Linked DNA regions of Tamandua tetradactyla. The protein of the gene in region 1 interacts with the protein of each later gene in a pairwise test. Links are inferred from orthologs where the notes say so. Each region holds a gene or a part of one and is shown in the gene's direction. Other genes may lie near its edges. The genes, in order: DCTN2, CCDC172 and GADD45A.

Region 1 (7,486 bases):
GGGTGAGGGCACAGGGTGGTGACAGACTAGGGCCCTTGGGAACAGGTAAGCAGGTCTCTTCCTAAGACATGTTTATTTAAAGTCCCAAATTCACTGACTCAGGGGGCCCATGCTCCCTCCCCTCCTTCCCTTTATTCCTTTGACAGGCCTGTTGCCAGCTGCCTGTGGCAAGCATTGTGGATCAAAGATATATAAGTAGCCCTGACCTTGAGAAGATTGGGGTCTACCCTCAGATGTGCCACTCCCTTCACTAAAAGGGCAACCATTTCCTGGCCTAGCACTCTTCAAGACCATAGGACTCAACCCCCAGGTCCTTTCACCCGACAGCCTGATGGTGCCTACTAATCTAGGAAAGGTGGAATGAGTGAGGCCTAGGAATTCCCTATGGGCCATAGCAGATAAAGGTCCCGAACAGAAATCTGGGGAGACAGTGTGATGTCGAGAAAAAAAAACATGAGTTTTTGAGTTACAGATTTGGATTCAGATCCATAACTGTGTGACCTTGAGAAAGTCATTAAACTTCTTTGGGTCTCAATTTCCTCATCTATAAAATGGAAATCTCAATACTTACTTCAGAGCGATGTTTTGAGGATTTAATATGTAGAACAACAAACACACAATAAATATTAGTTCTCTTAATAAGATCTCCTGCATGGGAAGGGGCTGTCACAATGAGGTAACAATGGCTTGCTACTTCTTACTGGAGCATCAACAGAAAGGGTGAATAAGCAAGTATTTATTAGGATTTCAGCGTTCTGGCATTTTTACTTTTTGGAGGGGTAGGATAGGAGGGGTTTGAAATCCACTTACCACTGTACCTGGGACGGATAGATAGACATTTCCTTAGGACCCCAGGGGTTCCCCCCAAATCGGGTGTGGCATTAAAGTATTCCTTTCCCAGAAAACCCTTCACTAGACCTGAACCCTCCCCCGCTCCCAAGTCCAGGCTAATTAGTTTGGGGGATGATGGAGGGCTTGATTCTGGAGCCCACTCCCATTCATACCTCTGCACAGACCCTGGGCTGCCCACTTCGCTTCTAGCCCATCCACTAGCCTTCCCCCTCCTTTCCTGGGAGGCTGGGGTAGAGATCGGAACCAATAACAAAGGGAAGACAGGCCTTCTCTAGGGGAAATGGAAAACATCAGAAAAACACCGGACTACCTTTCAGGGATGCGGACTCAGCAAAGAGGAGTGGAGTCCCCAGATCTCTGGGAAGTAGCCCCCTCCCACTCTGCGGAGACTTGGCCACCGGCCTGGGCAGGCCACACCCAGCCATCCAGATGCAGGGGAGAGGAGGGACTGCGGCGAGGAGGATGGAGGGTGGAAGATGAGCGGTGGGGAGGGGGCGCAGAGAGACAGGTAGGGAGCAAGGCTCCGCAGTGGGAAGATTCAGCTTCTCGCCCCCTCCCCGAAATCCCTTCTGGGGGCGGCACTCACCCCAATAACGACGCTGTCGTCCCCTTGAAAAATAGGGATGAACTTGTCCCCCCGCAGAACCTCGGCTTGGTTTAGGGGCCGAAATCGGCAGAGCACCTTGATGCTACACTCGTTGTTTGTCTCCGCCATAGTGGTCCCCGGCGTGGGGCTGGGGCACTTCTTGGGCTGCAGGGGTGGTAAGTGCTCTGAAGGAGGGAGACGCCCAGCTGAGGCCGAGGCGGAGGACAGATGCTCGGTCTCTGGGGCCGAGAAGGATGTGGGGTCGCAGGGGCAAAGGCTAGGGAGCAGGATGGGGCGCGCTTCCTCTCTGCTGCGGCACTGGGATGCGGGAGATCTGCGCGTCTGGTCCTCTCCCGGCGCTCTGCCTCTCCGCCCCTCGCGCTGCAGCGCCTCGCTGCGGGCCTGGGCGGGGCCGCGACGGAGGCGCGGGGGCGGGGCTTCCTCCGCGGGGGGGCGAGCCGCGGGACGCCGACCCCCGAGCGGTGTGATCCTTCCGGTCTTCTCGCTTCCTCCCGGCCACCCCCACCGCCGGACGCTCGGAGAGAACCTTGCCCTCACCCCCTCCCCAACCAATTCACTCCCTGCATCCCACTCCCTCGACCAGTTTGTCCCTCTGTAGGACTCCGCCCCCTGGAAGGGAATAAGAAATCGGAGGTGGGCCTATTCTAGGGAATAGTGTCAACAAGGTTTCCGTCCCCCTTTTTTCCCGGGGCATCCCCCACCTCCTTCACAATCTTCTGTCCTAATTGGGAGCACATTTCTTATTCCTCTATCACCCCCACCAAGCACAGGCGCCGGACTCCTTATCCACTCACCTCCAAGGGCAGCTGCTTTACCGGGAGGGAGGGTGGGACTCCAGGTCCCCTTCTTGGGGGAGAGGAGTGAGAGAAGGGTCTGGCTACTTCTCTCCCCTTCTACACCAAGGGCTGTACTCTATTCTCCCCCCAACCTATATACCAGTTTGAGGGGCAACAAACTCCCATTCTAGGCTTTCAGAATCTAAAAGCCAGTGAAATCCTCATTTCTGCTTCCTAGGTTCAGGTTGGCATGGAAGTGGGTAGGAGTAACTTTTTTAAGAGTCAGAAAGTGCTGAAGGAGAAGTGGTGATGGGCTAGGTGAGACCAGAGGGGCTTGGAAGAGGTTTTCTAGGAGGGATTTCTGCATTCCAGTTTCAAGCAGGTTTAGCACCCTACCTGAGTATGTTTCCTGTCTCAGATACAATTGGACAGAATCTATACACAGCAGTTCCCTTCTCAGGTCTTTCTTCTCTGGTTCTTCCCCTTCCCTAGCAAAAGCCAAACCCAGAGATTGCTTGTCCTTCCTTCATGCAGGGGCTGCAGCCCCTGGACAGAAACATTCAGAAGCTGGCCAAATTGATTTTCTTCCCGTCATAGGCCTCTGCTGACCAACAGGGAGTTGGACTGCAGGTTGAGGCTCTAGGTCAAGGGGAGGAAGGGCAGAATGATGAGAGAAGGGAGGAAGGGATGGAAATTCTGCCCAACAGCTGTCTGGAAAATGTCTGACGTCATTTAGACACTATGGGGCAAGGGTTAGTGGCTGTTGGCCTGACCAGACAAGACACAACCACTCATCTGGGGGAAGGGGCCCTACACATTGGGCCTACACCTTGATCCCAACGTGCATCTTAAAGGAACTGAATGAAAAGGATCCAGCATAAGGAACTGGATGAGAAGGCAGTCTCTATGGAGAAAGAGAGACAGAAGTTTGGGGAGAAGCCAGGAGAGTATGGCTAGAATGACAATGAGTTCCAACTCAGGAAAATAGACTTCTCTCCAGTCACTTGGTCTGGCACTATTTCTAAGTGTTGCAGCATCCTGCAAACTCAGGAAACATCCTAACCTTAGGCTCCCATGGGCTCCAGGGTGGCATCCTTAGTTAAGTAGTTGCAAAATGCCAGAACATGGAAAGTCACTGGGTAGAGACAAAAACCCACTGGGTATACCCCCTCTCTCCAAAAAAAAGCCAACGGGTGTATTTTTCATAAAGTTGGATTTATTAAGTTTAAAAGATTGTCCTTTATTCTGAAAGTCTGTCCTTCCTACTTTTCTACTAATTAATGACAGTGATAATACATAGGTTTTCATTTTCGTTGTACTTACTTGGCAAAATAAAAATGTAGCTATGTTATTTCTATCTTCACAAGATATTTCTATCTTGGTATTGTTGTTGTTTTAGTTTCATTAAGCCATGAAATCCCAAAGTCTGGGAACTATTAGCCAAGTGGTTAGAAGAACAGAGACTGACTGGTCTGCCAACCATTGAGCTACCACTTACCTATTGTGTGAATTTGAGATAGCACATTGCCAGATTAGGAAGAAAAAAAGAGAGGACGCCCAGTTAAATTTAAATTTCATATAAAGAATAATTGTGTATGTTTCAAATATGGCATGGGACATACACTAAAAAAATTGTTTATATGGAATTCACATTTAACTAAGTTCCCTGTACTTTATCCGACAGCTCTAACTTGAGAAGAGTATGTAACTTTTCCATTCCTAATAGACCCTAAGCGTTTTCAAAATTTTACTTTTTATTGTTGTTTCTGAAATCTTTGGCCGTACTGCAGCAGGACTTGCTGTGTGATTTTATCTAGTCACTTATTTTCTGTGAGTTCCAATATATACAACGGATAACTTTCACAGACTTGATGTAAACATGAAAGGAAATAAGTTCTGTGAAATAATTCCCTAAGGTGCATTACTGTCGTACCCTGCCCGAGCCCCGGCCTACCGAGACTACAAAACCCACAATCCTAGGCGGCGACCCCACCCCCACCCCCGCCATTACCTCATTCTCTGGTCTTGTCCTCGCCAATCACCGCCCCGTCAGGGGTGTGGTAGTGGGCTGTTCTCGCGACTGTTGCTTTACCCTTCTCCCTGTGTTGCTACTGTCGCGAGACTTCCGACTGCTCCGCCGCTCCCTTTGCTTCCGCTTTAGCCTGGGACCGGCCTCAACCTCTTCCCTACCCGAACGTCAGCCCCGGCTCCTCCGAGGCCCCGGTCCCCCAACCCCGCCTCGCCGCCTCCATGGCGGACCCTAAATACGCCGACCTTCCCGGCATTGTGAGTACAGGGGCCGGCCCCGGCTCCCCACCAACGCGCCCGCGACTTACCAAGGATCCCCAACAGATACCAACCCGCGACCCCTCCCCCCTGCAGCCCCTCCTCCGCTCCAAGGGCGCTTGCTGCTCCCTTCCCGACGGGCCACAGCACCTTCCCAACGACTCCGACCCGACTGGGCCAGGCTGTCGGCCGGCGCAGCAGGCCCACTTTCCGGCAGTTGCCGGTTACCCGGCCCCGGAATGCACCGGGTGTTTTCCACTTGTGCCCTACCTAGTGTTTCCATCAGCCGTGTTAACACCGCCCGTGCTGTCCCAGATCCCTCCATAAGCTCTCCTCCCAGAACCCCAGACGCACAGGTCACTTGATAATGGCCTTACCCGACCAAGGAAAAGGGTAGGGTGATAGAACCATTCTTGTGCCAGATGTGGAACTCTGCACTACGGGAACTTGTCCCCCGATGCACATGCCGGCATGTACCACTCTGCTTGTGTTGTTGCCCTCCCTGTATCCTCGGGATGGGAGTTGTGCTACGGTAGTGGTGTACAGGGCCTAATTTGAGAATAGCCCTCACCTTCTTCTGACATAATGAGTGCAAAGATTTGCCCCCCTCCAAATTCTGGATAGTATTTTTCTCATCACTAACGCTCACCATTTACTGTCAGGCCCAGATATCTTTACTGTCATCCCCACTCCTCTAAAACATGGGGAACTGACTTGTTCTGGGCAGGCAGAGGTGAAAGGACAGAATCTCAGCATCACACTATGCTTTCTTTGTTAGTTTGGATGCTGGGTAGTGTGGTTGGGTGATCACTGCTTCTACCTGCAGGCCAGGAACGAGCCAGATGTTTATGAAACCAGCGACCTACCTGAGGATGATCAAGCAGAGTTTGATGCGGTAAGACTGTGTGCTGCCTCAGGACCCCTCTGGGCTCTGACCTATCTTCCCCAGGCAGGCTTTCTCCTTTCTCTGGCCAGCAGTAAGCGGGTATGCCAACCCCAGCCTAGCTGTTATGTAGGTTGCAGGGCTTGCAGAGGCCTCTCAGCCAACAAAGAGCAGTGCCATGAAGGAGAGTTACATCTGAGGAATTACAACCAGGAAGACTTGCTGGGAAAGCCCTTATCCTTACGCCTTTTTAATAAAATTGGAGTATCTCAAATCAGTTAGGTTTGGGGCTAAAGACTTAATTAGGCCCCTGGGTTCTAGTCCGTGGTAATGAATCGCGAAGCCTGAGCACTTGTAAACTGCCTGATAAGGGACAAGGCCTTCCCTTTCATAAAATATTTCACTCAATACATGTTCATTAATATCATACTGAGAGCTAGGCTTTGAAGTATAAATGAAAGCTTTTTTATATGAATATACACTATCCAGTGGACAAGGAGGAAGAAAAAGATGTGGAAAATTTAAAAGGTAAGGAACCTGGTCAGAGCAAAGTAAATTTGAGGGCAAATATAAACTTTTCATATCAGCAGAGGAGAGACCGTGGTATCACTTTCAGGTCTAAGAAGAAATCTAGATTGAGGAGGAAGGAATTAGCTATAGACATACTTTAATCAGGAGGGCAACGACTTAGCATTGTTTATTTAATGTGTTCATTCTGTGTTGATTTTTGTGCAATGCGGAGAAAGGAAGAAATGTCCCTGACCTTAGGGAGCGCCAGACTAACGCAGGAGTTAGGATATATGCAGGAAACGTGAGAAAATAAAATTGAGTGAATAAAAATCAACATAGGAGAAGTTCTGTATGAAGTGCCCAGGGGAGCAGAGATAGGTTAGCACATCTTATAGGATGTGTTTTAGGCTCTGTTATTTCTAAAGCGAGCTGGGCTGGGGTTGCATTGGTGGTATCAGAGTGAAGGTGTGACTACTAGTCAGCAGGATCGGGCTCATCGTATCTGACTGTGAGTGCTGTGGCTCTGTCTGTGGGGCTGGTTTGTTTAGGGAAATGCTGACCGCTGGCTTACGTATGGCTTGGCATACTCACTTATTCCTTATTTGATTCCTCCATGTGGAAATAGCTTCTGCCTTCCTTCCTTTTAGGGAACACCTTCACTGTCCCCTCAGTGGTGTGTTCCTTGTGGCTTCTGTACCTGCTGTCATGTTAGTATGTCACCCAAGCTTGAGTATCTGGAGATCAGTGCAGAATTGTGTAAGGACCTGAGTGTTCACCTGTGACTCCAAGAGGTGTCTTAGTAGGCAGCAGCCTCTGGCCTCACAGAGTAGGGATGTGGATGCTGAGGGCTTCACTGTACTGCCACAGTGTAGAGACTGTTCAGCTCTGCCAAAAAGATATCAAGCTTTTATGGTGAGATAATAAATGGAACTTTATCACTAACTGATACAAATGAGTAGTATCATAGCTGTCCCTTTTCCAAACAGAAAAAATACCTTGTCATTTTCCTTTTGAAGGAACTGGGAGATAATAAGAAGACGAGGACATCCATTTCAGGCATGGAAGAAGCTGAAAATGCAGCTCTGATTGGCTGTTTCACCCCGCTGAGCCTGAGCAGCCCATTTTAGTAGCATCTGGAGGAGGGGTGGCAGGGTGGGGGTGGGGGTTGATGGGGAAGGATACCATGAGTGTTCATTTCCTGAGGCACATTGCCCAGGATGCCATTTAACAGCGTTTAGGAGCTTAATGGTGAATAGCCAAGTTGCCTCCACCACCTAAGGCTCAGTTAAGTGGCTCTCCATCACTAGGGAGGAGTGAATAGGGTGGGGAGACCTTCCACTGCCTCAGGAGCCTGTGTGGCTGAGATGTTTCCTGATGTCAGCTAATATTTGGCCCTTGCATGTCCCTGTGGGCCTTAGGAGGGCAGCTTTCCAGAAGTCAGCTGAGTAATGGCCTTTCTGCTGCTCTTAATACTAATGTAAATGTGCAACTTGAGGAGCAGTGGGTTGTGCTTTGATAGTCCAGGAATCTTCTGTCTGTGAGGCTTGGATTCTCAGTAGCAGTCTGTCCCTC
Region 2 (8,185 bases), on another chromosome or scaffold:
CTCAAGAATCAGTGTCAGTTATTTGGTGGGTAATTAACCATGTTCTTAACAGGCAAGCAAAGAATGCATTAATGACCACAATAGGTAACTGGTTAATAACAACAAAAATCCACCTAAAATTTTTATTTTAATTCTTTCCAAACTACCTTAAATTTATTATCATGGAAACTACAATTTGGTACAACCAGATTTCAAAGCCTTTGTCTTATTAGTCTTTGTAACCCGAACACAACTCAATGTACTTGCATTACAGATAGTGTATACTTAATAAATATTTATTGAATAAGCAAATGACTTATACATGGTGGAGAACAGTGGTTTCCACATTTTGTTTCGTTTAAGTTTTCTGGGCCTGATAGGCTAACCTCTTGGATAGGGCACCAGAGGCACCTTCCTGGACCTTCAGCTTGGGCTCTGAACTCTGAAAATGTGAACATCCCAGTCACGTGCTGCACTGTCGCTTTTCTCTACAAAATGTTTTAATATTTATTGACTCCTAGTATGTTAATGAAATTTCTTCATCCAATATATTTCATGAAGAAAGGCTGCTTTTCTCAATTAGTAATTAAGAATTGGCAGTTTACCTTTATTTATTTTTATATATATTTTTAGTTTATCTTTATTTTTATTATGGAAGTGTAAGTCTGTTGGAAAATAAAATTGATACCTTTAAGCACTTATTTTTTCATAAATGATTTTATCATGTATACATATATTGATATGTGTATGAATATGTAGGCATATATGTATGTACACGTGTGTACATACATAGGTATTGTAAGTATGTATGTGTGTCTATCTATTATCTACCTATACTCTATCTATCTACCAATCTCTTTCTAATATATCTCTCCTTAATTGGGTAAGTTCCCTACAGTAGATGAATTGCTCCAGGATAGCCCTGTCCCTTTTTTTAAATTCTTCTAGAAAGTTCAATATTAGAAACAAATAAAAGATGAGTTGCTTTAGTTTTAGTGTTTGAAAGCCACTGGTGAACAAAAAGATCTTTATTGGAACAGGAAGGAATTAGGAGGGGGTGCTAGACCCAGCTGTGATATTAACTGTTCTAGGGAATTCCATCAGCCTGCCTGGCCTCAATGTTAACATCTATAAAGTTGTATAAAATCCCTTAAATCATTAAAGAATTTTATTATAATAGATAATAAATCAAAGTGATTTAAAATTTTTTTAAATCATAACTTATTTTTACAACTTAAGGTTTAGGATCTTTTTACACAAATTTCACTTTTAGTTTCACATATTAGATATGTGACTAGGTAAGCAAGCATTTATAATAAGGTAGGACCTATTTGCAATTATTTTTCTTTAGATCACATTTGAGTTAAAATTTTTTAGCAGATGCAGTGCATTGATAATCCAAAGTCTATTAGTTTGAAAATGTCTTCAGAAATTATATTAATTTGTTGGTGAGAAGCATTTTTTAGGAAATATATCTTCCTTAAGAAATACAGTTGACAAAATAGTCTCATTTTTTTCTAGGCTTTGGATGTTAGAGGCAGTAAGGAGACATAGCTAAGGTTGTGCCTTCTGGAATGAGACTATTAGGGTTCAAATCCTGATTCTTCTACTTCCTAGTTACAGCATCTGACCTTAGGCCAGTTACTTAGCTCTCCCTGACTCTGCCCCAGCCTGTAAAGTGGAAATAATAAAAGCATCTATCTCACAGGGTTGCTGTGCAAACTAAATGAATTAATGCATGTCAAATTCTCAGACTGTGATTGGCACATAGTAAGCTACTCAATACATGTTAGCTGTTAGCTGTTAGGCTCTTCCTAACTCACTGTGTTTCTAACTAACTGCTAAGAATCGACTGCAGAAAGCAACACTGAAAGCAACACTGCTTGAAAACATAACCTGGTCCTCCATCATGAAAAAATCAACAGCCTCCAAATACTACCCTACCTAACTTTCTAATCTCCATTTATTGAACACCCACCCTCCTTAAAAATCCAGCTGATATATTTTTTTTTTTCCTAATGATAAATCTTCCCAGATCACCCTTGCCAGGCTTACTCTCTCCTCTGCCATATTTCTATAGCCCAAGAGTAAGGCTCTATTATACACAGCTACCTGGGAGTTACTGGTGTATGCAACGTTTGGTTTTATAGACTGTGACCTCCAGAAAGCTACCTGTATCTTTACTGATGTCACATCACCCATAGTATTTGAGATTTTTACACTTAGTAGATACTCAATAAATAGTCGTTAAACTTGCTGAATCCACGCATTATTCTTTTCTTTTTTTGGCAGATGCCCTAAGAGAAACATAAAATGAATGAATTATTTTTCTTCTTCCCATTGCAATATAGGAATTTTGCAAAGCCTGGTTTAGAACTTAGGGAAGTTATCAATCTAAGAAAGGGGAGGAAACGCATCTTAAATCACAAAAGCAATATAGCCTTACATAAGGCCTTCTAGCCAAACAATTATTGATTGCTCAAAAACCCAGGTGCTGGTGTTATTATGAACAAATGTCTGAGGTTTAAAGATAATGAGTGATCTTAACTTTTATATTCTATTGGTATGCAATCAATGAAACATGTACAGATGGAAAATTTATATCTGAGAATCATATGTAGGAATCATAATGCAAATAATTGGCTTTCTTTCTAAAGAACATCTGTTGAAACATCTGAAAGCAGTTGTTTATACTGTCGCTAAAATGCTGAAATATATAATAACTCTCCAATGAGGTTAGAAATATCCTAGGGAAGAAAAATACATTTTATGTAGTTGTGTTTTTATTAAATCTTGATATTGTTTCTCTAATATGGCACATAGGAGACGCTCACTAATATTTGTTAAGCAATAGGAGACGCTCACTAATATTTGTTAAGCAAATGTTGAATGAATAGCAGAAACTCATTAAACAGTTATTGAATGAATCATTTTCTTTTTTTTTTTAAGGCTTATAAGAGCGATACCTTTTCAGAAAATAGTATGCCCAAATTTTACCCCATCATGTACTATTTTTATTTGGCATACATTTAAGTAATGCTATAATCCTGCTTTGTCCATTATAGAATGTAATCAGCATGTATATCTACACGAAAAAAATCAACACTATAGAAAATGTATGAATAAAGCTAAACATGGGATAGTAACATTTTAGTATCTTATGTTACTTTTATTTTTTATTATGAAATGCTTAAAATTTGAATTGTGGGCTTGAATTTTCATTTCTGCTTCAGCAAAACAAAATTAAATTTAAAACCCTGCTGAATGTCCATAATTGTGGTACCTCTAAGAATACTCTAACTTAGGAAAAAAGCACCAAAATACTCTGGGATGCGAAGAAGATTACAGAAGATGAAGAAGGCATTTCCCCCCATATATCTTTTCCTGAATTACCAGCAGCTATCTCTTCCACACTCTTGTGTGAGTCAGGCAACCAGGCTCCTTAAAGGCTGCCCAAATTTCATTCTGCCAAGTTTCAATACAGAAAGAGCACGTTAAATAATAAATGTGAGTTTGAGTGTAACTAATAAAACTGGAATGTTAAATAGCAGTATGCTTTTGAAACCAGCCTCCTTGTGAGGATGCTCCCTGTGCTGGTCCACAGGAAATAATTCTGAAGGGAGTGATATTAATTAGTAATATAATTTATCTTCTGGGAAGTCATTTCCTTTGATGGCAGCTGCGGTACAGTTCATAAGCCTCCAAATGAGTGTTCAAAGAAAATGGTTCGAACCACAATTTCAGCTTTGTTTCCACCCTTAAGCAGATGAAAGAGTCACATTTATTTCTGTATATCTAAATTTTACACATGTAAGTATATGAGGAAGAATTATGAGGTTATTTAAATGTATTTATGATAAGTTTTCAGTGAAATGGTAAAAGACTTGTAGTGTAATGAGGGGAAAACGGAGCAGAAGCCAAAATGAAATTCATAGCCTCTGATCTCAGATTTCTAGGGTTCAGATCTCACACTGCTGTATTTTAGGTATGCAACCTTGAACAAGATACTTAACTGTTCTGTACGTCAGTTCTTTCAACTGTGCTACTAAGCTAATAATAAAATCCATCTCAAAAGGATGTAAAGTGTTCATAATAGTGCCTGGCAAATCATACATATTAATTATTGGTTTAACATCGCCATTATTATATATTCACAGTAACTGCAAGTTCGTATAAGGAAAAATGCAGGTCACCTGGAAGCCAAGAGACAAAATATCATTAATATTTGCTTCTGAATGGTGAGTTTATGGGCAACTCTTTTTCTGCTTCATTACACTCTTCGGTATGTCTCCTTTTACAATAAAGTTAAAAATTTTATGCACGCATGGCTTGATGGGAATAAAAGTGGAAACTTGGAATAGGTTAAAATTTATAATCAATTATATTATAGCTTTAATTAAATGTCAATTAACCCTACTGTATAGCTGGTGTGATCGAATTCACATTTACCATACTTTACTTAATTCCAAATACATTCTAACTCGAAAATACTTTGTAAAGTTTAACCAATTTCAATCTAACACTCAGAAACGAAGTAAAATGTTTACTATAATCTCAATATTTTGACCTACTAAAACTAAAAATACTTAATTTTTTTATTTTAAAAATCCCATGCAAAAATCCCAAAGGTGCCTTTCATGTGTAAGCTTTAATTAGCAACCACTTTGGTCTCTGACACATATTGCGCAGATATTGAAGTGTTAATATTACTGCAGCTTGATTACAAAAGGCAATGATTACTTGTAAAGCAGACAAAAAAGATATGCCCTGATTACAAAGGAATGATTAAGGCGGAACGTCAGACACAGCACATTTATAGCAGTCTTAGCCATATAATGGATAAGACTTTGCAAAAGTCTATATTTAGAATCACCAGTACTGTGCACTTTATAATATTGGGTGTTTGTGCCATGCAAACAGATCCCCTGAACTCAAAATCAGGCCTAAGACCCTTGGAGACCGCATGACCCACAGCAAACCGCACGACTGCAGAATGGGCCCAACTGGCCGCCGTAGTCGAAGTTCTCACCGGGCAAGGCCCGACCTGAGGCACTAAATGAAGCCTGAGGCGAAGGTTTCCGCCAGCCTGTGCTGGTGGACGATAACACGTTTTGCTGAAAGAGAAAGCTGAGAGGAAAGCCTGACCCTAAAAAGGGTTGCTGCCCAGACTGGGAAGCCAAGGCCCAGGTCTCCATTTTTATTTGCCTCTGTGACAAAAGCAAAACCTAGACTGAGGGGACCAGGCCTCGCCCGAGGGGAGCTGCCGTCCGCCTAGGACGATGGCAGGGTTTGAAAGGCGCAGGAGAGAAAAAGCCGGATCAGTGAATTGTAATATGTGAAACAGAGGCAGAGGGAGCGGGCTGTGAGGCGCTCCGAGCGGGTGGCGCAGACCAGGCCCGGACGTCGCGCGGGAAGGGACGGCGGGTGGGCGGCGCGTGGTCGGCGCCTCCCCACGGGACTGCCCCTGCGCGTCCCCGCGGCCCCGCCGGCGTCCCCAGTGACCCCTCGCGGCCTTGACCCTCGGGGCTCCGGGCTGGGTGTCGGGAGGGGTGAGTTGGAGGCCGATCTCCTTTAACGTGCTGCTTTCCAGGGTCCTCAGACTTGGTTATCAAATATTTAACGTCGAGAAGGGGCTCCTCAGGAGCCTGGGCCGGAGATGAGTTTAGAGACGTTGTTTCAGCACATCCTCTTCACGGAGCACCAGGCTGAGGAGAGTCGCCGCTTGATGCGAGAAGGTCGGGCTTTTCTGGCGTTTTGCGGGGGACCGTTTGTCTTCCCGAGTTGGGTGCTTGGAGAAGAAAGAATTCCCGAAAGCGCTGGTCAGCAGAGCAGTTAGGGGAGTTTGCTTTCCACGTTGAGGGAGAGAAAGCTGAAAGGTGTCTTTCCAAATGCTACAGAAATGGGAATCTGAGAAATATGTATGTTTGTAAGGATTTAATTTGTATTACAGTGAGGTCGGAAATAAACAGATGTCGTGAAAAAATTAAGGAAGCAACAGAGCAGCTGAATGAAGAGAAAATCAAGTTGGAATCTAAGGTATTGCTGTGTAGAGCATGATAATCAGCATTTGAAAAAAGCCTGGTGCAACTTGACTTTTTGAGGGTATTTCCCTGATGAACTAGTTTTCCTTCAAATAGGAAGCACGCTCTTCTATCATGTTGCCTGGTGATATTTAAAGTTCTGATTCCAGTGAAGTAGTTAGTTCTAATATGAGCTTGTCCTAAAGAAACCAGTTCAGTTAATGAAGAACTCATTTCCATTTGGGGGAATGGTTAACATCTTAAAAGTGTACAGTGTCACTGGAAATTAATTGTTGAATAAGTAGATGATGCAGTATATACATTTTGAATAATAAAGTGTGCTATTTTGATGTAAGTATTAAATGTAACTTTCAAATGAGTGTATGTCTTTTGTTTTTTAATTCTCGACCACTTTTGGACATGTCTTTTCACCCAAAAGTATAACTTTTTGACTAGCATTTTTCCCTTTGTAAAATTGTCTTATTTGAAATCGAGGCAGGAGAACCTGGTGGCAGAGGTTGAAAGCAGAGGGTTGATATCTCGGAGTAGGCATTTGACTTTGCATTTTATTGACCAGTTTATCAAGTGGAGACAGCATAAGGAGAGACGTGAAATTAATCTGAATAGGGCAATAATTAAGATATTTGTTTTTTGATCCGGGTGATAAAAGCAGTTTTAGGGAGGTCACTCTGAACTCTGATCTGGAGGATAGAAGCAGGACATTTAGTTAGGAAGCTAAGGCTTTCGTTTAAGTATTTCACAATGAGGGCCTGGCTGTGGGTGGAACAGACTGCCATACAAAAATATTTATTCAGCGTGCAGCGGGGGAGTCTATTTGAGGAAGTTTATTTGCTTTAAATAGAAATGTCTACCTCTGTGAGGAATTTCCATTTTTCTGTGTGAATAAAATAATCATATAACCCTTCTACCAACTAGTAAATTTCTGCTCTTCAAATCTTTCTTAAATGTCACCTGTGGAGTTCTCCCATAGACATGTTGGAAAAATGTTTTTAATATAGCAGTCTGTACATTACCTTGCAATTAAACAACAATACATACTTATGTTTGTGTCATATCCCTTGCTATTTTGTAACATCGGGAATTATTTTTCTTACTCATCTTTTTTTGCTCTCACTTACCTGTATCCGAAGCCTAGCATGTAGTGTGCATTAATGTTTTGAGTGAATAAATTTATCACCAATATTTGTGATAATAGGGATAATACTGTTTTTTAAAATAGAATTTGGCACTATTCAGTGAGATCATTCTCCCGTTTTATTTTGAATAGCAAATAAACTAGCTACTACCAACAATGCTAAAAGCTGGTGGGCTGGGCAAAGTATTAAAGAATGCCATGATATAGATGTCTTTTTCTTTGAGAAGAATTAAGTTGCTTTCAGGTTTGATAACTAGAACGTAATAGAAGTAGTAGGTGACACATATACGATTAGAATTAGGTAATGCATAGCTAACATTTATTGAGCACTTGTGTGCTGGGCACTCCCCTAAAAGCTCCACCTGCATTAGCTCCTTTAATTCTGACAGTAATCCTGTGATGAGGTATGTCATTAACCCTACTTTATTGGTGAGAGAACTGAGAAACAGAATTTCAATGGCTTGCCCATGAGATATAATTTGAAAACAATGAAATTATCCTAAAGTAAGTAACAATTGAACAGTGACGGATATTTTAGTAAAACAAATTTCTTGAGCTCATCTTAAAGTTTATTCTTCATGATATTCACATATAATAATGTATCTGAAGCTTTAGAATCTAGTCTAGGGCAATATTTTTAAAAGGTCACCTATATAAGTTTCTCTACAAAATGGATTTTTCTCTGATTGATGAAGATATTGACCTGACAGATTACAAATAATGAAAAAAAAGGTTTACTCCATTTTATTTTCTTTGTAGGAGCCTATTTGCCTGAAAATGGAAATGTAATTAGTTGATATATACATATACATAAAAATGTCAATTCAGACATTTGTGCTAGAGAGATGAGAAAGCAAATCCCTATGCTGTTTAGAAACATAAAATTGCTAATTAATATAGGCTCATAAATGCGCTGCTTTTTAATCAGCTTATGTATGTGGGTAATAATACAATTGTATCTTACTAATAAAATTAATACATGAGGTCCACATTTCATACAATTCTAATTCGTAATTGAGATATTTGATTT
Region 3 (7,965 bases), on another chromosome or scaffold:
TGAGATGTTTATAGTATATTGAGGCAGAGATGATGAGCTAGCTTTGAAGTCCAGAAGAGATGACTGGTCAGTTTGGAAATATATTTGAGTCATCAGCATATAAATATTTAAGGCCATGAGATGGATGAGGTCACCAAGAGAGTGAATGTAGAAAGAAGCGGTCCAAGGACTGAGCCCTGGGGTATTCCAACATAAGAGGTTAAGTAGAAAACTTTGTGAGAAACTAGATGGGTGAAAAGAATGATCTCTTCTATTTCAGAAACACAGAGCTCAGAAATCTGTTCAAGTTACCAGAATGAACTACCAATAGCCAATTACCAACTCAGACGACCTACCTTCCTCACCTATGATTAGCCCACTGGGCACAGAGACTCTCAGTAGAGTCTTAATATGACAGAAGGCTACTGGCACAAACTTCACTCAGCAGGGAGATGGGGAAATGGGGTGGAGGAAGAGCTCTAGAAAAATGTCATCACGAGTCACTTCATCTGACATCTCTAGTGGCCAGTCTCTGTTTGGTTGGTGAAATTTGAGCAGATGTTAGCAACACAAAATGGTTAGCAAAAAGCTCAAAGCCACACCGTGACTCCACTGATTCTAATACCTGAGAAGAATTTCTTAATGCATGAAGAGAATTTCCCTAGGGTAAAGATTTATTAAACACACAATAAGAAGGCATTAAAGTGATTGTATTAGTTTTGTTTTTGGTTTTTTTATTATTATTTTTTTTTATTTTTTTATTTTTTTTTGCATGGGCAGGCACCTGGAAATGAACCCTGGTCTCCGGCATGGCAGGTGAGACCTCTGCTTGCTGAGTCACCGTGGCCCACCCTGTATTAGGTTTTGATGCTGCCTAACAAATCACCACAAGTATAATAGCTTAAAACAACACCCCTTTGTTAACTCAGATTTTCTGCAGGTCAGAAGTCTGGGCATAGCTTACTTGGATTCTCACCTCAGGGTCTCACAGAGCTGAAATCGGTGTTGTCCTGGCTGCATTCTCATCTGGAGGATCGACTTGGGAAAGATTTCCTTCCACACTCCCTCAGGTTGTTGGCAACATTCATTTCCTTGCAGCAGTAGAATTCATAGCATTTTGCTTCTTCAAAGCCAGCAGTGAAGAGAGTCTCTGACGCTTGCAATCTCTCTTTAGGGAAGACCTAGATTCTCTTTTAAACAGCTAATCTGAATAGGTCAGGCTCACCCTGGATAATCTCCCTTTTGATGGACTGAAAGTCAATTTGTTAGGGGACTTAATTGCATCTGCAAAATCCTTTCACCTTTGCCAGAGAATGTAATATAATCATGGGAGTGGTGGCCCATCATCATTGCCATATTCTGTTGGGTCAAAGAAAGTCACAGGCCCTACCCATATTCACGGGGAGGAGATTATATAGAGTGTAACACCAGAGGGCAGAGATCATGGAGGTTACCATGGTGATGAGCCAAGAAACTAAAATATTATATGAAATTCAAAAGAAAGTATTGATCCTAAGACAAGATACCTCTTAAGTGACAGTAAATATGGTCTGAATGATCTTCTCCTGAGGAAAAAAAATGAGGGAAATTCATGGACCTGTCTTGAGAAGCTAGCTTCACCAGACTTATGCAAAACAATAGTAATAATAATGCCAGGAACCTTATGAGTTTTAACAATAAAACACAATATAATACAGTTCTCAGTAGCTGGTAGATTCATCTGTCATAGTCTAACTGGTCTTTTCCTTTAATTTGAATGAAGATCTGTCTAATAAAGAAATAACAAGCATCATATGTTTTTCAGATATTAAAAGACTTTTTTGAAAGAGAAAAAAGTTATAATTCTGTCTGTATAATGAGTAGTAGGAATGTATGTGTGACAAAAGTGAAGAAAAGAAAAAGACCTTTAATATGCAAAGCAGGTAGTAGTGATAAAATAATATAACAATTCTTGAATATTTATTTCCATCTGATTTCTAACTCTAACCATTTGGCAACCTTACAAAAATTACTACAAGGTCATTCTAGTTCTGTACAATTGAAATATTCAGGATTGCCTGTAGTATTTTTTCCAAATGACTTCACATATTGGAGTTATTACACTGATAATAAAAATATGTTCAGGTTCTATATGATCTAGATAATTCCTCTTCATTTGCCCTTGGATACCAACTCCCTTGAGGACTAAACAGCATTTATGAAATGTCACCTATGATCATTCTACTGTATAACTGCACTCTGTGTAGCTAAATGCAGTTTCTTCTTCCAGCCACGTGGACCAACTTTGAAGAGAGTCACTGGTGAAACACTCTAGGTAGACTCAGTAATGAGGCACAATGATGTAACATATCTGAGTCAGAAAGCATGACAAATGAATATTTTGAATACTGGAAGTCTGGGCTTATCTCACAGAGAAAAACCCCACTTGAACAAATAACTTTCCCATGAGACCAAATATAGCACAAAGTATAGTTTTCGAGTGAGGAACTTACCCTATATTAAAACTTGACCATTTTATGTGACTTTGGTTTTCTGTATATAGTCTGGATGGGGCATTATTACGGCTGGTAGGGCATTCAAACTGGTGTAAACAACACATGGGCTCTACTGTCCTACAGCTTCCATTCAGATGACTAAAGTCATGGGACTTTCAGCATAGTTAGCTGATGACAGTGCATATTATTTCATCCTAAAATTCAGTTTGAGCTTGCACATACCCATTAGATCATAAGCTCTTTAATGGCAAAGGACCAGGATTAGTACAGTTCTTGATGTATAATAGTAGATCCACAAAGTTTTTTGGAGCTAAAGTCAAATGTGGAATATTTTAGAAAGAGCACATGCAATGCACAATTCCAGAAGAATCCTGAGATCTTGTTCAACTCTCGGATGCCATTCAACTCATTAAACACTGACTGCATCTACTAAATGCAAGGTAATGTGCTGCATGATGGGGACACTAAGTCAGTGAAGTCACTGTCCCTGCTGTCAAGAAATTTACGATTCCCACATTCTTTCTCAGTTTGCTGTGACGACATTTCCTTCCAAAGAAACTCTATGGAATACCTGGTAGATAGCATCTTGGAATTCCACAGAGCACCTTTCCACAATCTCCAAATGGTGACTGAGGCCAGACTGTAATTCAGATTTTGTTTGCAAAACTGAAAGTGCCTCAACATCTACCTAAGTTTCAATCTTGAGGAATTCTTTAACAAATATACCACATTAGGATAAGGTATAGATATGAGATACATAAGCACTCTGGGAGAATTAAACATTGACCACCACATTCCTTTTACTTGAACATTGTCCCTTGTCGACGACGTGGTTACAGATTGATTGCAAAATTGCATTTCAAATAAACGAACCAGAACCTCAATCCATCACTTTTCTTTTCCATTAAATTAAGATCAAGAGAGCCATTGATCTTCAATTAAGATCAATCATATTTTGCCAAGAATGATACAAACATAAGGGCGCAAAATCTCCCGTGTACCTTTGCAAAACTTTTCTGTGACCTTTGGCTGTCATATATAAGTGACCTTAATAATGCAAGCACTGTTTTGAATGCAAGCACGTAGGAGGCATTTTCACCACTTTGGTTGACGTAGGTACGTTTAAGAAATGTTTTTGCATTTACTGCATAAAGCCATAAAACAAAGGATCAGATTTTTTACCTGTTCAGTGAAAGTCTATACATTAAAGTTCAGTTTTCAAAATGTGTACCTACTGCTTGCAGTTATGCATGTTTGCTTTCCACCCACAGGTTGCCATTCTCTTAAAGGTGGAATTTTTAACATCTGATTAGAACATCCTATAGCTTCGTGTTTCAGCATCTAATGTCAATAATTCACAATGAGAACATAGGCTCTCTGTGGAAGGCAGTGACATATTTACTTGCCTTATGAAAGGAAACAGGCATATGGAGAGCATTTGGAGTTTAGACTTGTGCTTTGTGTGGGTGGCAGACATTTGTCTCCTAGCTCCTGTGGATCAGGTGGACCCTCCTTTGGGAAAAGCTCTCCGGGAAAGGTGAATTTGGGTTATCTGACTGGGGTTTACACATATGGTCATCAGCTCCCCACGTGCACCAGTTCATGGTTTTCCAGAGCTACCCTGGGCAGGTGGGAAGACTGTTTTCTATGGAAAAGATTCCAACTTGGTTCCCTGCCACCACCAAACAGAATGTGTTGATTTTTCTTTTTTGAGCTTCCAAGCCTTGCAACCTTCCAAAAATAAATCAAACCAGCCATCAGGGCACCGAAATAATACTACTACTAATAAGCAGCTTTGCCCAGACAACACTTCTGAGGTAAACTTTGCCCCAGAGGTCTGGACACACTTTTTTTATGTAACCTGCTTACTAATAATTACTAGATTCAGGCGCATGAACTCTGAAAATAGATTTTAATAGCAACCCCTAAAAACAAAAGACATGAAACGAGAATTTTAAAAAAGTGCACCAACTAGAAAAACACTTGGCACTCTTCTCCAGCCCAAGGTGAAGACTCCGCCCTCCTCTCCAGATCGACCCCGCCCACGGGATAGGGGAGCAAGCCCAAGGCCCCGCCCCCGCCCCGGGCCCGCCTCCCGCAGGGCTCCTCCTCTTTTCACTTCTCCCAGCCTGGTTCCCGGAGCTGAGGTCAAATTGCCAGAGCAGGCTGATTTGCATAGTCCAATGGCTACGCTGTATGCAAATGACGCCGGAGATGGTTGGCTGGGGCTTGGCAGGATAACTCCGGTGAGCTGGACCCTTTGTCCTTCAGTGGCTGTGGGGCAGCTGCCGTAGTTGTGTTACGGAGCTTGGCTACCGGCACCGAGCGAGCCCGGCGGGAGGGGAGGGCGGCGCGGCGGCGGCGGCGGGCGCTGGAGGAGGAGCCCGGGCTGGCGGAGGCCGGCCTGGCTGAGTCCCGGCGGTCGGTGCGCGTGTGGGACCCGAGCCCGCTGCTGGGCAGCCTGTGAGGGGAGTGCAGAGAGAGCAGCAGCCTGCGCGCCTGCGGTGGCAGGAGCAGCCCGCACGCCGCTCTCTGGGGGGCCCTGCAGTTGCAATATGACTTTGGAGGAATTCTCGGCTGGAGAGCAGAAGATCGAAAGGTGAATAAGCCTGCGGGCTTTTCCGGCTGGCGGGGATAGACAGAGCTTCTTCCTGACCGGTCTTGCCCACCCCGCGCGCCCCAGTGCAGGAAGGCTGTGAAAGGTTTGCGGGGGAGCGAGCGGAAAAGTTTGCAGACGGCAGCTCCCGCCTTTTCTCCTCAGGAGAACCCCCCCCTCCCCGAGCCCCGCGGGCGTTAAGAGCGAGCCCCTTCCCACTACCCGGCCAAGCCCTTCCTGGCGCCTTTGCAAAGGGCAGAAGCTCCTGCCCCTGCCCTGCGGTTCCTGTGGCTGCGTCCTGCACCGGGGACTGACAGCTTCCTCTGGGGAGGGTGGCGGTGACACCCTCAGGGTCTTCCAGCGGACGTGGGAGCTGGCGGGACCGGGCTGGTGGCGGTGTGGGATGGACACCTGGGGTGCAGAGAGCATTTGGGAGGGGGCCTCGTGGTGCAGGGTGAGGGGCGGCGACGGCCCCCGAGGGACTTGGGCTGACAGCCTCCTTTGGACCTTGCTTGCGCTCAGGATGGATAAGGTGGGGGATGCCCTCGAGGAAGTGCTCAGCAAAGCCCTGAGTCAGCGCACCATCACCGTCGGGGTGTACGAGGCGGCCAAGCTGCTCAACGTGTAAGTGGGCCTCGGCGCGGTCCCTCGTGGTGGCCCTACCCGCCGCGGCCCGGGGAGGGCGCGCTCACGGGGCGCTGCCCGCTGCCGCTCTCTGCACCCGCCGCGGCCTGCCCCGAGGGGAGCGAACGCCCCGGGGTGCGACCCTTGGGAACCCGGGCACGACCCCAGGGGACCCGGGCACGGCCGGGCGGGTGCTGCCTGGGTGCTCACGGCCCCGCCCGCTGCCCGCAGCGACCCGGATAACGTGGTGCTGTGCCTGCTGGCGGCGGACGAGGACGACGACAGGGACGTGGCCCTGCAGATCCACTTCACCCTGATCCAGGCGTTCTGCTGTGAGAACGACATCAACATCCTGCGCGTCAGCAACCCGGGCCGGCTGGCCGAGCTCCTGCTGCTGGAGACCGGGACCGGCCCGACGGCCAGCGGGGGCGCCGAGCAGCCCCCCGACCTGCACTGCGTGCTCGTGACGGTGAGGGAGAGGAGGGGCACTTCCAGCCGACCTGGGTTAGGATCCTAGAAGGGCAGGGAGTCGCCTGACTGCAGATCTGGAATGGGGGGGGGGGGGGGCTGTCTTGGCCACCGCTCAAAGAGCGTGATCGGACTTTCGGCCTAGATGTGCTAGTTTCATCATCAGGATTTTCCCTGGGACAGAACATGTCTAAGCACGCTGGAAGCTGCCAGCAGCGGAAGAGGTCCCTGTGAGTCAGCACTGTCGGCTCAGCTACTCCCTACCTACAGCTGCACTACCTCCCGTGACTAATTCCTTTAACAGGGCAGATTAGATAAAGCCAAATAAATTCCTGGCTCACCCTCATTAAGGAGTCAGCTTCATTCTCTGCCAGTCAAAGCTAAAAATAGAGATGGTGTAGGAGACAGATCTTAGTAATTCCCTAGAAATACATGAAAAGGAGTGAGTGGAAATTTTTTTCTTTGCAATTTTGCATTTTTAAGGGTCTTTTAGTTCTGATTTTAAAAAATCTTCAGTAGGTTTAGGTTGGAACTTAAGTTTTTAGAGGTAAATATGATAATAATTATCTTTTAAATTTTGCTATTTTCTGACTGATCTAGTTGAGTGGCACACTGTTTTGCTACTCCTAAAGAACACTTTTTTGGAGGATAACAGGTGGCAATTCTATTAATTGGTGGGGAAGTATTTCTCGAAGTTATTTAATTCAGGTCTCTGCCAGGGTACAGTTTGCAGGGCAAACCTGTGAATGATAGTTCTCTTGCAAAATTGACTGAATGGTTTTATGTAAGCATATGCATGTGGCATATGGATTGCATGTGTGCGGGCTTTGCAGATGTAGTTTAATAGAGAATTACCCTGTATAATTTTGCAGGAAACCTGAAGAAATTTCAGTTTTTGCCCATCTAACTTGTCTCTGTTTTACTCAGCCAAGATAGAGAAGGTTTAAGCATCTTCCCCTTGAAAGTAGTTAAATTATTAGCAAATGCAGATTTTTTTAATAGTAAATTTATGTTTCTAAATTTGTTCCCAGAATCCACATTCATCACAATGGAAGGATCCTGCCTTAAGTCAGCTTATTTGTTTTTGCCGGGAAAGTCGCTACATGGATCAGTGGGTTCCAGTGATTAACCTCCCTGAGCGGTGATGGCATCTGAATGAAAATAACTGAACCAAATTGCACTGAAGTTTTGAAATACCTTTGTAGTTACTCAAGCAGTTACTCCTTACACTGATGCAAGGATTACAGAAACTGATGTCAAGGGGCTGAGTGAGTTTAACTACATGTTCTAGGGGACCGGAGATAGATGACTTTGCAGATGGAAAGAGGTGAAAATGAAGAAGGAAGCTGTGTTGAAACAGAAATCCAAGTCAAAAGGAACAAAAATTACAAAGAACCCTGCAGGAAGGAACACAAACTATGTATTAATTTGGATGGTCGAGTTACATTAAAATAAACCAAGTATGCTTTGTTAAAGTTTAAATGTGCAGAAGTAGTTTGAATATTTTTTGGTTTCTATGCCCTAAAATGAAAGAGAAGCAGAAAGGGTTCATCATATTTTAAAACCATATTTTATTGTATTTTGATGAGATGTTAAATTCTCAAAGTTTTATTATAAATTGTACTAAGTTATTTTATGACAGGAAAGGTTATTTATGCTATAAATTTTTTGAAACACGATGCCTACAATAAACTGGTATGGAATAATTGCATCATATCTTACTGTGTGCTTTTTTTCTCTTAAACTGAGACTTTTTAAAAACAGTTTTTTATATATTTGGAAAAATTAAAACCCTTGTGAAAT

Evidence for each region.
Region 2: the proteins of DCTN2 (region 1) and CCDC172 interact in binary tests that used the Homo sapiens proteins (3 or more experiments, as listed by UniProt). The two-hybrid records come from large-scale screens. The link is inferred for Tamandua tetradactyla from reciprocal best matches to the Homo sapiens genes DCTN2 and CCDC172.
Region 3: the proteins of DCTN2 (region 1) and GADD45A interact in binary tests that used the Homo sapiens proteins (3 or more experiments, as listed by UniProt). The link is inferred for Tamandua tetradactyla from reciprocal best matches to the Homo sapiens genes DCTN2 and GADD45A.

What each region holds. Positions count from the first base shown.
Region 1 is NC_135333.1:124,838,367-124,845,852, reverse strand, and holds the start of DCTN2 (dynactin subunit 2), read left to right. Parts: upstream 1-4,343; 5' UTR 4,344-4,485; coding exon 4,486-4,521; intron 4,522-5,347; coding exon 5,348-5,416; intron 5,417-6,930; coding exon of another isoform or gene 6,931-6,970; intron 6,971-7,486. Other genes in the region: KIF5A (kinesin heavy chain), read right to left, coding at 1,439-1,567. UniProt on the Homo sapiens protein: Part of the dynactin complex that activates the molecular motor dynein for ultra-processive transport along microtubules. In the dynactin soulder domain, binds the ACTR1A filament and acts as a molecular ruler to determine the length.
Region 2 is NC_135339.1:78,369,881-78,378,065, forward strand, and holds the start of CCDC172 (coiled-coil domain-containing protein 172), read left to right. Parts: upstream 1-5,000; 5' UTR 5,001-5,166; intron 5,167-5,569; 5' UTR 5,570-5,635; coding exon 5,636-5,714; intron 5,715-5,929; coding exon 5,930-6,015; intron 6,016-8,185.
Region 3 is NC_135337.1:58,292,417-58,300,381, reverse strand, and holds the start of GADD45A (growth arrest and DNA damage-inducible protein GADD45 alpha), read left to right. Parts: upstream 1-4,815; 5' UTR 4,816-5,029; coding exon 5,030-5,073; intron 5,074-5,592; coding exon 5,593-5,694; intron 5,695-5,925; coding exon 5,926-6,163; intron 6,164-7,193; coding exon 7,194-7,307; 3' UTR 7,308-7,965. UniProt on the Homo sapiens protein: In T-cells, functions as a regulator of p38 MAPKs by inhibiting p88 phosphorylation and activity.